3 linked regions of the Ovis aries genome follow. The protein of the gene in region 3 interacts with the protein of the main gene of each other region in a biochemical or structural test. Links are inferred from orthologs where the notes say so. Each region holds a gene or a part of one and is shown on either strand. Other genes may lie near its edges.

Region 1 (5,859 bases), on a different chromosome or scaffold from region 3:
ATGCATGATATTCGATCCCTTTCCATCCATCACGATGTTTTCTTCCTGTCACTCAATCTCACCTTTACAGCCTGTGTTCTCAGCAGCCTCTTCTGCCAGGTTGGCGTCCTCACTGCCCACATGCTCACTGCTGAGCACCTCCGGCGGACCAAGCAGGGAGCCAGCTGTGAGGACACAGTCCAGCTCCCACAGCGTCTACGTCTTTCAGGGAATGAATTCTCCCATCGCCACCCAACTGCTATCACAACGTAAACATCTCTCCCTCAGCAGCCCCCTCAAAGCATCACCCCAGCCTTCCTCCACACCCCTCACATGAGGACCAGCTGGAACATCTGGGCCAGGTTGGCCTTAGGCTTCCAGCACCAGAGGCGGTGACAAGCTGTTTAATATTCTCTTGGCACTGAGACCTCTCTGATGAGAGTTCCTTGTGCTGTGTTCACAGGTGACTGCTGGCTGCTGGCCGCCATTGCCTCCCTCACTTTGAATGAAGAAATTCTGGCTCGAGTCGTCCCCCTGGACCAGAGCTTCCAGGAGAACTATGCAGGGATCTTCCACTTCCAGGTAACTTAATAGTTGGCTCAAGCTTCACATCAGGTCCTGGTTGTTGTTCAGTTGCTCAGTCATGTCTGACTCTTTGCAACCCCATGGACTGCAGCACACCAGGCTTCCTTGTCCTTCACTATCTCTCGAGTTTGCTCAAACTCATGTCCATTGAATCAGTGATGCCATCCAACCTTCTCATTCCCTCTTCCTCCTGCCTTCAATCTTTCCCAGCATCAGGGTCTTTTGCAGTGAGTTGGCTCTTTGCATCAGGTGGCCAAAGTATTGGAGCTTCAGCTTCAGCATCAGTCCTTCCAATGAATATTCAGGGTTGATTTCCTTTAGGATTGACGGGATTGATCTCCTTGCAGTCCAAGAGACTCTCAAGAGTCTTCTCCAACACCACAATTCAAACAAGACCTGGGGGCCAGGATCATGTCCTGGGTACTAGGAGCAAGTGTGGAGGTTAGAATGGATCCTGGGGGCCAGGAGCAGATGCTAGGGGCCGAGGACAATACTCTTCTACTAAGGACACTGAGAAACATCAGGAAGCTCCCTTGCCTGCCACCAACCTGGGACCCTGTAAGGACAGCAATGGCGAGGAGGGCGGTAGGGCAGGGTTCTCAGGAAGTGGTTCCCAAGTTTTTTTAAAAAAGTGTGCTATTTAGGATCTGAGACAAAACATTAAGGTATGGCTCACTGTCCTCCTTGTATGCTGGTAAATGAGAAATAGTATTTTTTAAAGTATAAGGTGCAGGGTAGAGGGTGGGAGGGGAGGGTGTGGCCTCAGAGGGAGGGGCAAGCATGTGTCCTTGGTTTCTCAGTGAGGATGTACCTGCAGGAAGAGGGCTGGAGGAAGCACCTCTTCCCAGGGTGGGCTCATGGAGCCTACGCCCAGGGCCTCCTACGGGAGAAGCCAGGTGCAGCTGAGGCTCAAGGGGTGGAAAGGACCCCAGGCTGCCGCCTGCCACCAGGTCCTTCTCCAGGCCAGCCCTCTCTCTCCCTGCCCTGCAGTTCTGGCAGTACGGCGAGTGGGTGGAGGTGGTGGTGGACGACAGGCTGCCCACCAAGGACGGGGAGCTGCTCTTCGTGCACTCAGCAGAGGGCAGCGAGTTCTGGAGTGCGCTGCTGGAGAAGGCCTACGCCAAGTAAGTGCCCGCACCCTGCCCCTGCCAGCCTGCCCCCAGCTCCCCTGCATTCTGGAAAAGACAGAAACTATTCAAGGACGATTTTGAAAAAAAAAAAAAAAAAGTCCTATACTACAGAAGGACTACTCTGGACAAAACTGGGCTCGAAATTCGAGGAGATAATGCACATGGCTATTGCCATTTTTCACCAAATGCACAGGAACACGTTACGGTACTGATCGTGCTGGCCTTGAGGACATCTACTTCCTTGGCAGGTCATGTTACATTTTTGTCAGCTAAATACAGCAAAGATTTTTTGCCAAATGAGCAAAACAATTCATTGCAGAGGTATGAAAATTATGGAAATTTGCCCAGAATACATAATATACTGATTAGAAATGGTTTTCCCCAGCCCCCCTAGGTGCATCCCCCACAGGCTGCCTTGTCCAGTGCTCAGCACTGCCTGTTCTCAGCAGGAACCCACCCCCTACCACCATCTGTCCAACCCCCTGCAGAGTGTGCCCGGTCCTGGCCCTGATGCCTGGGCTATCTCTGGGAAAATGAGCAGCTCTCAGGCACCAGGAGGATTTCTGTTCTCCAGCCCCTGCCAAGGAGGAGGGCCAGGAGTCAGCCACCAGCTGTGAGAAGCTGGGGCCTGAATTGCTGCTAAGTCTACACACAAGCAGTAGAGTTAGGGAAGCCACAGGGCACCAACGTTGTGACCAGGGCGCCATCAGGAGCGACCAGCACCTCCTAAGACAGTGCCGAGGATGCTCAGGGAAGCTGCTTTCATTACTGAACCGCTGTCCCCTTTTAAGCTATAACCGCCAAACAGCCCATTTAGCAGACCCCTTTCCTGCCAGGATGCAGAGAGAATCAATACAGGAGGTTGGCGAGATAAACATCCAGGTCCTTCCAGCCCTAAGGTTCTATGAGACTTTTCCAAATATTTCACAAAGTACCAGGCAGTGGTAACCACATGGACAGTCACCTGCCCTCATGGGCAACCCGAACTGGAGACAAACCAAGGAGAGACTGAGCAGAGGGTCCCTGGAGCATCCAACAAAAGAGGCCTGAGTTGGGCGGGACACTTTGAGAAGTGGAAATTTCAACTCCGGTGGCCACAGTGTCTCTCCCCTTCCTGCAGGATCAATGGGTGTTATGAAGCACTTTCGGGGGGCGCCACCACCGAGGGCTTCGAGGACTTCACTGGAGGCATCGCCGAGTGGTATGAGTTGAGGAAGGCCCCTCCCAACCTGTTCAGGATCATCCAGAAGGCTCTGCAGAAAGGCTCTCTCCTGGGCTGCTCCATCGATGTAAGTCCAGGCCCCTCCCTCCCCAGCAGAATCCTAATCTGCTCTAGTGGAAGTGAGCTTCCAACAGTGACCAAACAGACCCACTGCCCTTACTCCCCGCACAACTAGCCCATCCTTTGTCCACCATATTGCACATCACCTGGAGCCCAGGGGTGGCTAGGCAACAGTCAGGCTGGCTGGGGGTACAACTGGTGCCCAAATGGTGACTCCAGCCTCCAGCCGTTCTCTCTCCAGCCCACGTACAACCCTCATCCTCCTGTGACTCACCACCCAGATCACAGCTTCCGTGAGAGTCCCCTGCCCTCTGCTGGGCCCAACCCCATTCACCTTCAGCCCACCTGCAGGGCCTGTGCCCAGAGACCAGCAGCCTCCCCCCAACTGGTGCAGGGTTAGCAGACCTGTAGGAAGACTTTAGGAGGCACAGAGAGGAACCGTCCCCTCATGCTAGCCTTGCTGGCACACCTCGCCACAGGAAGGGAGGTGGGTGTGACATCCTGTCCGCAAGGAGCCGCCAGGCTTTGCCTGTGCCCAGCGGCAGGGAGGCCGTCCTTTGCCTGTCCTAACCAGGAGGAGCTGGTTGCTCTGGGATCAGGCATAAGAAGCCTGGCTCTGGCGGGTCCAAGTCTGTGTGCAACTCTAGGCAGGGATTTGCAGACCTTCTCTGCAGACCATGTCCAGGCAGAGACCCTTTCTACTAGCACCCCTTCTCGTTGACTCAGACAAAAATAACCACCTCCATCACAACAGATGGGGAATAGGATCCCTGGGGAAGCCTTAATAGACAGACGCCAATTCTGAAGTCAGGCAGAAACGGAGAACTGCTCTCGAGTAAACCCTGCAGCGGGGCGGGGCAGGGCGATCCGTGCGGTTTCCAGAGACCCAGCGCATTTGGACCGCCCAGGTGTGTGCCCTGAGCCCCCTCTGCACGGCGTGCCCTTTTCCTGCGGGAATTTGTGACTGCGCGGGGCACACACACGAGTGCAAGTGCGGCGCCCCCCGAGGGCTGCTTGCAGCCTCTCCTCTGGTTGTAAATAACAGCGGGAGGGCTCTGGGCGGGAGTGGGGAGGCTCTCTCACCCACCGCCCAGGACCCCCGCCCTGCAGTAGGACCCGAGCGAGGGAGGGAAGGAGGGAGAAGGCGGGATGCGGAGGCCGGACTGATTCTCCCGCGTTTGCAGATCACCAGCGCGGCGGACTCGGAGGCCATCACGTTCCAGAAGCTGGTGAAGGGGCACGCGTACTCGGTGACCGGCGCCGAGGAGGTAACGCCCGGCAGGCATTCCTGGGGATCTTTCCCTCCCTCACCCGATGGCAGAACCACTTTTTGCCTGCTTGCCGAGGGTGGGGCCCCGCGTTCCCGGTCCTTTCCCAGCAGCCCCGCGTTGCTGAAGTTCAGGCCTCGCGACGGGCGGCCCTCCCCAGCGCCTGCCGGCCGCGCGCTGCCCTCTGCTGGCCGCGAGTGGGGCCAGGCGCCGTGCCGTCAAGTTCCAGAATCGCCTCCCTCCTCCAGACCAGCTAAAGACAACACGACACTGCGTCGTGTTCCAGCCTCTTTCAAGTGCTTTCACATTTGATCTCACAAAAGCATTGGTGCCCCAGTTAGTGTTCAAATCTGACTCTGCCCCTTGCACGCTGTTGGCCTGGGCAGGTGTTTAAACTCTCTTCTGCTCCCCAGTTTCCCAAAGTTGAATTAGAAACAATAATACAGTGATACCCGTTGTAAGGTTGTTGAGGTGACTCAAACGAGTTAAAACTTGTAAAGTGCTCAGACTTCCTGACAAGTTGTGTATAAACAAATCGCTCAAAAAAAAAAAATCGCTCTCTTTGACTTTGCGGCTATCATTACTACGCTGCTGCTGCTGCTGCTGCTAAGTCGCTTCAGTCAAGTCCCACTCGTAGCGACCCCATGGACTGCAGCCCACCAGCCTCCTCCGTCCATGGGATTTTCCAGGCAAGAGTAGTGGAGTTGGGTGCCACTGCCTTCTCCTATCATTACTACAAATGTTGTTAGATAGCCATATTCTAATCACTGAATGAAGAGTAGATCCCAGGTCGGCTGACATACCCAGTGCGGTTTTTTGTTTTTAACCTTGAATCTTTGTTTTATCCAACTCCCCGCATCTTTGTATTCTGAAAAATTTCAAGTCTACAGAAAAGCTGAAAGAATCCTACAGCAAACATTCAAATGCTATTTCCCTGGATTCAACAATGGTTAAGATTTTCCACAGCTGTCTCATCGCTTAGGGTGTACTTTCTTTCTGAGCCATTTGGAAGGAAATCGCAAATGTCACAACACTTCACTCACTCCTGACACTTCAGTATTTATCTCCTGCCCACAGGGACACTGTTTACATAATCCCAGTACTGTTTTCATCCTGAAGAAATAAACATTAATTCAATAATGTGATGCAATAAACAGTGCATATAAACATTTCCCCAACTGCTCCAAAATGTCTTTTATAGCCTCCTCAACGCCCTCAGTCCAAGGTTTAGTCAAGATCCATGTACGGTGTTTGCTTGTCGTCACCAGTGTTCATTTGACGGAGCTCCTGTGACAAAAGTACATCCTATTATAGTCAGCTGAACGGAGGTTCAAAGGTGACGTGCCAGTGCAGAGCCCACAACAAGGGCGTTTGTGCCTCAGGCTCACAACAGAGGTGGAAGAGCCCTGGTCCTCTGAGGGCTAGATCCCGGGAGCTGCCACAAGCTGAGCAGCAGCGAGGGTCTAGGGGTCAAACCCTTCTCCCTTTTGTGATCCCCCTTGTAACATGGCTCCCATCCCTGCCTCGTGGAGAAAGGGGCTCTGGGCCGGAGAACCTCCAGGCCTGGCTTGAACTTAGCATCTCCCTCCTCTCCTTCACCCACCCGTCCTTCAGG
Region 2 (5,859 bases), on a different chromosome or scaffold from region 3:
CAGGGGCAGGAGTTTTCTGTGGTCTGTATTTTGGGGGCACTTAGTTTTTTTTTTTTTTTTTTTTTTTTTTTTATTTATTTATTTATTTTTTATGCATTCCCAAACATGAACCCCCCTCCCACATCCCTCCCCATAACATCTTTCTGGGTCATCCCCATGCACCAGCCCCAAGCATGCTGCATCCTGCGTCAGACATAGACTGGCGATTCAATTCACATGATAGTATACATGTTAGAATGTCATTCTCCCAAATCATCCCACCTCTCCTCTCCTCTGAGTCCAAAAGTCCGTTATACACATCTGTGTCTCTTTCCCTGTCTTGCATACAGGGTTGTCATTGCCATCTTCCTAAATTCCATATATATGTGTTAGTATACTGTATTGGTGTTTTTCTTTCTGGCTTACTTCACTCTGTATAATCGGCTCCAGTTTCATCCATCTCATCAGAACTGATTCAAATGAATTCTTTTAACGGCTGAGTAATACTCCATTGGGGGCACTTAGTTTAAAAGCTTTAAGCCTTTAAACTTTTTCAGGGCTGTGACATGGTAGCACTCTTGAATAAGGTTTACTTTGCAGAACAATGTAGGACATTCTGAAAGTGAAAGGAGTATATTAAGACTTCAGTTGCGTTTCCCTGGTGGCTCAGTTGGTAAAGAATCTGCCTGCAGTGTGGGCGACCTGGCTTATATCTCTGGGCCAGGGGAGATTTCCCCCCGAGATGAAAATGGCAGCCCACTGCCGGATTCGTGCCTCGAGAATTCCACGGGCAGACGAGCCTGCTGGGTTGCACGGGACCTGCAGTCCATGGGGTGGCAAAGTGTTGGACGCGACTGAGCGACACACACACAGACAAGACTTCAGTTGGGAGGCTGTTGCAAGAATCAAGATGTGATTGATAAGCATCGTGACTGGAGGAATGCAACGGAAAGGCCAGATGCAAGAAGAGACTTGGAGGAGGTGGATGGCATTGGCAGCAAGAAGACATGGAGAGGCTGCAAGGCTCCAGCCTGGGTCTTGAGGAGGATAGTGGCTCCAGGAGAAATGGCGTCTTTCAAAAGAAGGGGCAGATGCATGTTTCCGTGAGACCCAGTGGAGCCTTTTGGCTGGGACCGCCAGTGATGGCTCGGGCTCTTAGACACAACCTGGTGCGTCTTCACTCTAGTTCAGAAAGTGGCTTGATTTCTTTCCACTGCTGTACCATGAGTGCTGACATGACGCCTTTGATTTTTTATTAAGGGGGATGCCGTAGAGGCAGTGTGAGTTTGTACAGGCTGTCAGAGCTGAATCTCCTGGATAAACTCTTGGGAATCTCACAATTCCAATCAAGCAAGTGTTCTGCTTGAGTCCCCCTGTTTCGCAGGACGATGTCAAAGGGAGCATGCAATTTTGTTTGTGGGTCACTGCCTAATATATGAAAGGGAAATCCCATAGGATAACTCCATTTTTCTCCAAATGTTGCTCCATAGCCTTAAGCTTTATAAGTGAAAGAAAATGCACACTGCTTATCAAAGGGCAGGAGAGGGGCAAATCAATTCAGAAATATTGCACTGCCATTAAGGATTGCCATTAAATGCAATTGCCATTTAAGGGTTTTGACTAAAGCTTCGTGTGTTGTTTTTTTTTTTTTTTGGTCCAGTGTTTGTCAGGTTCAACTCTAACCACGGGTTCCCAGTGGAGGTCGATTCTGACACCAGCATCTTCCAGCTCAAGGAGGTGGTTGCTAAGCGACAGGGGGTTCCAGCTGACCAGCTGTGTGTGATTTTCGCAGGGAAGGAGCTTCGGAATGGCTTGACAGTGCAGGTGAGTCTCCCTGGGCGGAGGGTTCCTGGGCTGCGGCCAGCCCCATTGCTTATGCCGCTTGCGCAGCCAAGCTGACATTCATGCCTGAGATCTAATAGAATAAATAGTGCCTAGGGATTCCTTGAACTTTACTCCACACCGCTTCATTAATTCTGACCTTCTTAATTATGCATTAAAACAGCAAGCAGGTACGGATTGGAGAACAACTGTGACTGGGAGAGAGAAGAGAGAGAGAGCGAGCACACAGACTGGGCTTAGTGAATAAATGTTTACTGACTAGAGGAGCAGCAAGGCACCGTTTCTGGGTCTGTTCAATTTCTACCGTACTTATTCCACTTGAATCTTAATGAAGGAGTCACAGAAATTGTCCCAGATCCGGCTGCTCAGTCACTGTGCCGGGAGGGATCTGCAACCCAATTGTGACCCCTGGAGGATGGTCCCGGGTCTGCCGCCGCAGCTCAGGATGGGAGGAGGTTTTGGGGCTCAGGGCCTTGGAGCAGATTCGCGAGCTCCCTGCCCATCAGCGCCCGAGGCGGCGGGGAGGAGGACGCACGCACCGCGAACGTCAACCTGTGTGTTTAATTTCTCCAAGTTTCAGTAACAAGTTCCCCAGAATGGGCCGCTGAAATGTTGGGGAGGGTGCAGCCAGTGTTTTACTCTCCTGTCCCTGACGCTTTCCTGGCACCGTGGGGCTCCTCATAGCATCACAGCGCTGTATCTTTTCATGGAGTGGGGGTGGGGCTTCATTCCCAGCTGGTATTTCCGCAGGGGAAGAGGTGAACTGGGCAGGCCATTGGGGAGCAGTGCCTTCCTCTGGGAGTGGAGACCAGTCTTGTGTTGGGGAAGCCAGCAAACAGGCCCCAATACGGATTGAAGTCACTCTCTGAGAAAGTATGAAAACCCACTTGCTTTCTGTGAACTGTTCAGGTGATCCTGAAGAACCCCAAACACATTCCCCGCGTCCCCCTTTTTTCACCAGCTCAGATGAGTTGCATTTCTGCCTGCAGCTGTTTGGGGGCCTGCTCTTGTGAACAGTGGTGGTGGTGGGGTGCTGTGTCTTTACCCAGTCCCTACTTTATTGACATCCTATGGCTGTCTCTTTTTGGTGATGATGTTTACTGCTTTAAGAAAGGCTTTCGGATCTGGGTGTAAGAGAGCCCTATGGAAATGTGAATTGCCCCCTCTTCTCCAGCACCCCTTCTCTGACAGCAGTCTGCTCTGCTCCGTGCACACAGGGTGCTGTGCTTTGCTTTTAGGCAATTTGTGTTTATAAGGGAAGCACCTGTGCTGAAAAGTGTTTTGGTGTTTTTTTTTTTTTTTTTTTTTTTTAAATTTCAGTCACCTAGAAAGCTTTTTTTTACTGTACCTGCCAAGCTCTAAAACCAAGGATGTTCCCATCATAAATTATTTTAAAACAGCTTCTTGAACCAAAATATTTTGTTATCCGAAGTTTTCAGGTTCTAAAGTTTCTCACCTCTACCGCTGGAGGTGATAGGTTATACCAATTACTATAGACAGTTGATTTCTACAGATGGATAGATACAAATATAGATATCTGGATGGGTTCATTAAGATTCTTGATTTTCACAACACTTCCAGTATTCTGGGCTTCTGAGAGGATCCCAAAGAAAGTCAGTACCCACTGCTATTTTCTTAGAGACTGCTGTTGACTTAGGCCCTCTAAAATCAACAGTAATACTAGATTGAACTACATAGGTTAAAAATATCAGCAGTTTCATGGGGCTCAAACTAATAGCTATAACATAAGGGTGTCAAACACGATAACTGCCATATAAAAACTGAAATATAAGTATTATGAAATTTTAAAGATGTAGGAGAAACAGCTGAGTGAATGTCACCAATAAAGACTTCAGGGTGAGTTGAAACTCAAGTAGGATTCTGGAGATGAAGAATGAGCGTGAGAGGTGTGTGGGAGCAAGCAAAGGGTCCTATTCCTGTAGAACCTAGAGGAGGTGCTGAAGGTGTGTGACAGGGGAATTGGGAGCTGTGTTTTAGAAAGCTTTGACCCATGTGACATTGACGTTTCATGCGAGGAGATGGAGAACAAAATAGGATGCCATGGAGGGAAAAGCGAGTCTGGAAATGCCGGTTCACCACTGGCGGGAGTTTCCCAGATTGCAAGAGTTAATGCCAGGGGGAGATGCTGGCAGGCAGTCACACTGAGGTGGGGAGCTCAGGGCTTGCTCTGAGCACTCTCTGCATGGAGGTAAGTACCGCAGTGACTGGAACAGATTCAGTTGCCGGGGTGCAGAGCGTACGGCACGAGCAGTTCCTCCGGTAACAGGAGAGGAGCCGATATACGAGGCATTGTGCATCCAGCTGGCATTTTCATGGATAATTTGGGGAAAGAAAATCACTAGTAAAGAATGTATGTGCCGTGAAAACATGGAGGACAAGGAAGCAAAGAGCCTTTGGGCTTGGTGACAGTGGTGGTGACTTAGGGGCTTTCGGGCCAGGACTGTAGCTGGAGAAAGTCAGCTTGCAGGGGTTCAGTGTGAATCGCGGGCTTTGTCACAGGCACAGCTCGTCTGGTCATGGAGGGAAGGAGAGACTGGGAGTTCATGGAGGAGCAGCAGCTTCCGCACTGTGTCCTGCCTTTCACAGCCCTTGACTGTGCGCATGGCTGACTTTGATACAGTTGTAATCGGTGTGAAAATGCAATTTTATGTAGTGAATTTCTTTCCCTGAACATTATGTCGAGAGAAGGCAATGGCACCCCACTCCAGTGCTCTTGCCTAGAAAATCCTGTGGATGGAGGAGCCTGGTAGGCTGCAGTCCATGGGGTCACTAAGAGTCAGACATGACTGAGCGACTTCACTTGCATTTTTCACTTTCCTGCATTGGAGAAGGAAATGGCAACCCACTCCAGTGTTCTTGCCTGGAGAATCCCAGGGCTGGGGGAGCCTGGTGGGCTGCCGTCTGTGGGGTCGCAGAATGGGACACGACTGACGCGACTTAGCAGCAGCAGCAGAGGTAGGAGTGGGCCAGGTGTTTTCCAGAGAAAGTGGAGTTCCATCCCTGAGAAGATCCCCCAGAGTAGGAAGTGGCAACCCACTCCAGTGTTCTTGCCTGGAGAATCCCAGGGCTGGGGGAGCCTGGTGGGCTGCCAGAGCCTGGTGGGCTGCCGTCTGTGGGGTCGCAGAGTCGGACAGGACTGAAGCGACCTAGCAGCAGCAGTAACATTATGTCAAAGGCGTCTTCCCTGGTGCTGTGTATTCATTTCTAAGTGCCTAGATGATCCTCTGAAATGAGAGTGCTTATGTTATATATAGGGAGCATCTAGTTTTTAATATTACAAATTAAGGCAAAATAATTTTTTAAATGGTCTCTAATATTCTTAGAGAATATGGCCTCTGTGTTTCAGTTTGCATGAAGTATTCTCTTGGTGTGTCCAGTTTTCTTGAAGAGATCTCTAGTCTTTCCCATTCTTTTGTTTTCCTCTGTTTGTTTGCATTGATCACGGAGGAAGGCTTTCTTATTCCTCCTTGCTATTCTTTGGAGCTCTGCATTCAGATGGGTATATCTTTCCTTTTCTCCTTTGCCTTTTGCTTCTCTTCTTTTCTCAACTATTTGTAAGGCCTCCTCAGACAACCATTTTGCCTTCTTGTATGTCTGTTTCTTTGGGATGATTTTGGTCACCATCTCCCGTATGATTTTATGAACTTAATAGTTCTTCAGGCACTCTGTCTATCAGACCCAATTCCTTGACTGTATTTCTCACTTCCACTGTATAATTGTAAGGGATTTGATTTAGGTCATACCTGAATGGCCTTGTGGTTTTCTCCACTTTCTTCAATTGAAATATGAATTTTACAATAAGGAGCTGGTGATCTGAGCCATAGTCATTTCCCCGGTCTTGTTTTTGCTGACTGTATAGAGCTGCTCCATCTTTGGTTGCAAAGAATGTAATAAATCTGATTTCGGAATTGACCATCTGGTAATGTCCATGTGTAGAATCTTCTCTTGTGTTGTTGGAAGAGGGTGTTTGCTATGACCAGTGTGTTCTCTTGACAAAACTCTGTTAGCCTTTGTCCT
Region 3 (5,859 bases):
TTGCACATAAATTTGAAGTTTATCATATTTTAAAAATAAAAAAGTTAATTTTAAAATTGTAAAGGGAGTGACAAGCACTAATAGCACTATTTTGAGATTTTTATACAGAATTAAATCCATTAATCTATCACTGAATAAAGACTAGAAACATCTCACATTAAGAGGATGTCAGTTGATCAGAACTTTCCTTCATATACTTCTGAGTTGTGACTTAAAAAAAAAACAGAAAACAAGGTAACTATTATCTTCATTACACCATCCAATGTAGAATGTGCCAACATTTTAGATACGGCTAAAGTACTACTAATTATGATGCGTAAGAGTCTTCCGAACTGCAGAGATGTTGAAATGTGAAAATATGTGCATCTTAGAATTGATAAAATATAGTAAATAACAGGCCAGACTCAGCCACTGCCTTAGTTCTCTGAGCGGGGATCAGAGGATCTGAATATCTATTCGAGATCTTCTGATGGTAAAATGGAGTTTTATCTTTAAAAAAGAGAAAAGAGGATGAAGACCTGTGAATGACTGTTACTGGCAAGGATAACGATATGGGTGAAATTTCTATTTTGAGAGCACTTATACAGCTAGGACAAACTTAGGTCCTAGGAGCTGATGGTTGAGATTTACGGTTACTCTCATGCGCCCCGATGCTGACGGGCCTGCGGCAGCCAACCCCCTCCATCCCCGGGTGTGGTAACGAGCAGAGTGGTTAAGCACCAGCTCTATTTGAGAGTGTGTTCTCCTATGATAAATGGTGTTTTTCCTATTAACTGACAGAACTTTGTAGGGTTAGTCAGGTAACCAGGAAGTATATTCAAAGGACCACAGGGCTTTGTTCTTGCCTTGATCCAATTCCATGTTTCTTTTGATGACTGAAATTTTACAAGGCTTCCTTCACCCTATTTCATGAAAATTTAATTAGTACTGAGGCAAAATTTTCTCCTAAAACCATATTTGATTTCAGTATTAGAGGGAATTCTAAATAAAATGAATGGTTAGGTCAAAGCTATATGGCTACAAATAGACAAAACGGCCAAGGTAAAGATAAAATCTGCAGTTTTAATATGGTACCAACTACTTTACTTTTCAAAGTAGGCTTCTCTTCTCTTCCGCAGCTCTTCTGAAGTAGGATGTGAACCCGATGTCTGTGGGATATCTTGACATCTGTTTCTGGAAGTACCTGAAAACCGAATAAAACACAACAAAAACCAGTTTTATTTACCACGTCACGACGTGTTTATACTTAGGTGAAGGAGCTTTCAAAAAGTTTTCTTCTCAAAACTACTCTGCACCATTCTGTAAATGTAAGAAAGGCTCTGAAAGGTTCAGGGAAAATCAGAATAAGGTAGTTCAACCGCACCTGTGTCCACTGCGGCCACGCCTACTATCAATCTGTGACACAGTGGACGTGAGGTAAGTTCAGTGGCCATCTGGCAGGAGAAACAACTAGCACCACACGTGCTTGCTCTCTACTTATTAGAAATGAATCTACACTTTTTAAAAATAAATAAATTTATTTATTTGGCTGCACTGAGTCAGCTACGGCACGTGGGATCTTCCTTGCACCATGGCGGATCTTTGCTTGAGGCACACAGACCCTCTAGTTGTAGCGCTTGCGGGCTTAGTTGCTCTGAGACATGTGGGATTTCAGTTCCTTGACCAAGGATCGAACCCATGGCCCCTGCTTTGCAAGAAGGATTCTTAACCAATGTACCACCAGGGAAGTCCCAGAAATCAATCTACACTTTTGAAGGCACAGAATTCCTAGAAGTAACTTAAAGTGGATGATTGTAAAATAAACCCACTCTGTATATTCCTTTATCTTCAAACATCTGGGTACTGACATAACTTAAGTATGTTTCTGTGTTCTTACTAAATTATTGCTCCAATCAGATTCTGTACAAATTGTAAAATAACGTGGGAAGAAGAGTAAAGGACACAAAAATGTCTAAAACTAATAAGGCTGTGTCTGTCCACCACTGGGCTAACCTAGCAGGACTCTGCTAATCCAAAATGGGCCTGTGCACCACACAGAGTACTCAGACGTGGCCAGGAGGCATGAGCAGTTCAGAATAAAATATAGCATAAAAAGGATAATTTTCATATTAACAGAAACTCAATTTTATTTAGATACTTAAGGAATTCAATTGATGTGTAATTTCATTAGAAAGTAGAAGGCAAATTCATATTAGACAAAAACAAAACAACCCCCAAAAAAGAAAACCCATTACACTTTTAAAGTAAGCCCCTTTGAGCAACGTCCTAGACATTTCCCTCTACTTGGATTCCCTGGGGTGGGAGTGGGTGGGGGAAGAGGTGTGGTGGGCTAAAAGAGTGAGCCCACCAAAGTGAGCTTAAGCCAAAAGTTCCACAGCCAGTAAGTTTTAGAGTTTTGTAAAATCAATTTATAGTCTCTGTCCAGACCTTCCTTCACAGCCATTATAATGCATTTAAATAGCTGGTCTTGGCAAGGGTCCACTGACCTCACAATGATTAGCTCCGTTTAGTACTGTGTTTGCACCATATTATAACCAAACTGAATGACCAGAAATGAAAATATAACTAGTCCTAATTTAACACAAGTCATAAAGTTATATGTATGTTATATGTATTAAACATTATATGTATTAAATAATATCTAAAAAAAACCAATAACTGATTATACATAGCTACTGCTTCTGTGACTGTCAAAGAACTTCTACCAACAGTATATTCATTTCCAGAAGAACTAAAAATGATCTAAATCAATTGCTTCAACAACAAATAAAGTAAGTGTTGGAATGTCCATACCTTGCATACTGAGCTGAATGGCCCTGCGGAGATCAGCCTCTTCATCTTCCATGTCAATTTCTTGGCGACTTAGTGCCAGAGCCCTCTGAAAGTCCTCCTCATCCTCGTCTAACACTCCTGTCCCATCATTTACTTCTAAGACGCGTTCTAGACCTGTTTTCTGGACTCTGAAGAATAAAAGCACAAATAATAACTGCAGACCATTCTTTTATTGTAATTATAACATAGAGACATTTATAAACCAAAGATTTTTATGTAAGTTGAAAACTTACACATTTTTTTTTGCAGATAACATCTAATAATACAAAGGTCCTATTGTGACATGAATTTGTGTTGGGAAGTATACTTAAATAATTCAGAGAGTTGATCCAAGGTTAAACCAATAAGCTACACTTAAACAGAAAGGTCTAAAAAAAAAACCCACCAAGAATAAAAGGACCACATCTTCATGTAAATTTAATTCTTGTAATGAAATACTATCATATACCCCACACTGCAGGCTCAGCTTTACCTCTGTTCTTTAAGTTGTGCTAATTCTTCTCCAATAAGTTTTGGTCGATGCATCTGTTGGACTCTGATCATCTGTAGAAGTTGGTCAGCTTCACAATCTGGCAGATCACCCTTAACAACAAATATAGAGTAACCTAAAAAAAAAGGCAAAAATTATCTACAACAGCTAGCAAGTGATTCAAAATGGACTGAAAATGATAGCAGACAGAGAGGCAGCACAACAGCGGGAAGACCACAAACCAGGGAGTGAGGAAGACCTGGATCCAAGAAATGGTTCTTACACTTACCAGTGGGGTGGTCTAGGACAAATTACTTAAGGTCTTTAAGCCTCACTTCCATATATATAAATTTCTTCAACTGGTCTTAGTTGGATCTTTCATTGTGGCACGTGGGCTTAGCTGCTCGGTGGCATGTGGGATCTTATTAATAGTTTCCCAACCAGGAATCAAACTCATGTCCCCTTCATTGCAAGGCAAATTCTTAACCACTGGACAACCAGGGAAGTCCCTCTAAACCTCTTCACCTGTAAAATGGGAATAGCCATCTCATAGAGTGACTATGAGAAGTATTTGAATCTGAAAAGGGCTCTAATTAAGTAAGAACAAGGAAACATACCTAATTTGTGCTTAATAATTTGTGCAGAATCTGACAGGGGCAATAATTAAGTATGAGGCTTCCCTGGTGGCTCAGTTAGTAAAGAATCTGCCTGCAATGTGGGAAACCTGGGTTCGATCCCTGGGTTGGGAAGATCCCCTGGAGAAGGGAACGACTACCCACTCCAGTATTCTGGCCTGGAGAATTCCACGGACTGTATAGTCCATGGGGTTGCAAAGAGTCGGACACGACTGAGCAACTTTCCTTTCACTTTTCATGGAAATATACTTAAAACATACTAAAACAGTGCTTGACCAAGTAGCTTACTTCCTAAGTGACAACAGAAAGGCAAGGAAAGGACTGAGGAAGAGCAAGGAGTGTATACTCAGACAGCCCGGGTTTTAGTGCCCTGGCTCTTCTGTTTCCTAACTGCCTCTGTTGATCACTTTACCCCTCTATGTCTTGATTTCTTCAACTGTTGAACAGATTATGCTGTACCTTCCGCAGAGTGCTATTTGAGGACATGATCAGAAGATGTGTGTAAAAATCTGCAATATGAGTAAAATGAGTTATCTATGGAAATAGCTGACCCTGACACACAGCCTTCCTAACTGAAAACAGGACCTGGAAAGCCAATACCCTAAATTCTAGTCAAGGTGCTGAAGATGTGGTTCATGTTTTGAAAAAATTACATTTGTCCAATGTAATTTTTTAATTAATACAACTCTGGAAAGCCAAGGTTTTCCCAGCTGGATACTCCATACAATAGCCGAATAAGGGTGGGCTATACCTAAGCCATTTTGATCAATTTTCATTTTTCTACCATAAATTTTCTTCAACCTTGGTGCTTATTTGGCTTCCCTGGTGGCTCAGATGGTAAAGCATGTGCCTGCAATGCAGGAGATCTGGGTTCGATCCCTGGGTCGGGAAGATCCCCTGGAGAAGGAAACAGCAACCCACTCCAGTATTCTTGCCTGGAAGATTCCATAGACTGAGGAGACTGGTAGGCTACCGTCCGTGGGGTTGCAAAGAGTTGGACATGACTGAGCGATTTCACTTTCACTTGGTGCTTATTATAGATATTCTTTATGAGCATTAACAGAAAATGAAATTTTAAAAAAAGATTATAAGGCCTATTAATGGAAAAACTCAAGAGTAAATCATAATACACTTAACACTTTTTTTCACAAGGACAAGTATACTCAGAGTTCAGACGGTTGAACAGGTTTTATGCCAGTAAAACTGTTTTCTAGGTTGTGGATACACTCTGTTAGCTCCCCATGCTATTCCATGAAGAGCATCATGAAGAGCAGAAACTGCTTTACAGAGGTGACACTGTGAGGAGCTTGGGTTTTATTCAAGATTAGATTTCATTCTAAGTGTGCTAAGAAGCCACTGAAGGGTCGAAGAGTGAAAGTATGCCACGATGTGCATTATATTTTAAGAAGAGCACTCTAGGCTGCCTTCTCAGTGTAATATATAGCAACCAATGCGCAAGAAGAGCGGGGCTTATGAAAACGGACAGAGGGACCGCAAGTATGGGGAGAAAAAAATGAGTCTTTTGTAAACATATTCAGATTGAAATGCTTTCTGGACTTCTGAGTGGAGATGCGAAAGTTAGGGGTTTAGTGCTTGGGGTAGATGTTGATAAAAGTCTAAGGAATTATGGCAGATAGACTTTATTTAGAGATGATATCTAAAATAATGGGACAGCACACAGTCAAGAAGTTGTCCAAGACTGACTCTGGGTCACTTCATTAGCTAGAGATTAAAGAGTAGGATCCATAAAAGGCATCTGAAAGCAGCAGCCAATACGACATGAAGCAAACTAGAGCACAGTGGCTTGGAAGAGGAGCAGAGACAGGATTTCAAAAAGGGAAGATGTAGTTAGGAACAAAGGTTTTAGGCATAAAAGAAAAGAGATAAAGTATATAAAATCGAAGACATTACAACATAATGATC

The links. The genes of interacting proteins can lie anywhere in the genome.
Region 1: of the proteins of ATXN3 (region 3) and CAPN2, one has a biochemical effect on the other in vitro, tested with the Homo sapiens proteins (2 studies listed by BioGRID). The link is inferred for Ovis aries from reciprocal best matches to the Homo sapiens genes ATXN3 and CAPN2.
Region 2: the proteins of ATXN3 (region 3) and PRKN form a complex in vitro, tested with the Homo sapiens proteins (4 studies listed by BioGRID and IntAct, with this or other methods). The link is inferred for Ovis aries from reciprocal best matches to the Homo sapiens genes ATXN3 and PRKN.

What each region holds. Positions count from the first base shown.
Region 1 is NC_056065.1:26,347,703-26,353,561, forward strand, and holds part of CAPN2 (calpain-2 catalytic subunit), read left to right. Parts: intron 1-442; coding exon 443-561; intron 562-1,554; coding exon 1,555-1,688; intron 1,689-2,814; coding exon 2,815-2,983; intron 2,984-4,160; coding exon 4,161-4,244; intron 4,245-5,858; coding exon 5,859-5,859. UniProt on the Homo sapiens protein: Calcium-regulated non-lysosomal thiol-protease which catalyzes limited proteolysis of substrates involved in cytoskeletal remodeling and signal transduction. Proteolytically cleaves MYOC at 'Arg-226'.
Region 2 is NC_056061.1:85,692,372-85,698,230, reverse strand, and holds part of PRKN (E3 ubiquitin-protein ligase parkin), read left to right. Parts: intron 1-1,639; coding exon 1,640-1,803; intron 1,804-5,859. UniProt on the Homo sapiens protein: Functions within a multiprotein E3 ubiquitin ligase complex, catalyzing the covalent attachment of ubiquitin moieties onto substrate proteins. Substrates include SYT11 and VDAC1.
Region 3 is NC_056071.1:54,579,656-54,585,514, forward strand, and holds part of ATXN3 (ataxin-3), read right to left. Parts: intron 3,438-5,859; coding exon 3,305-3,437; intron 2,961-3,304; coding exon 2,794-2,960; intron 1,184-2,793; coding exon 1,087-1,183; coding exon of another isoform or gene 1,083-1,086; intron 1-1,082. UniProt on the Homo sapiens protein: Deubiquitinating enzyme involved in protein homeostasis maintenance, transcription, cytoskeleton regulation, myogenesis and degradation of misfolded chaperone substrates.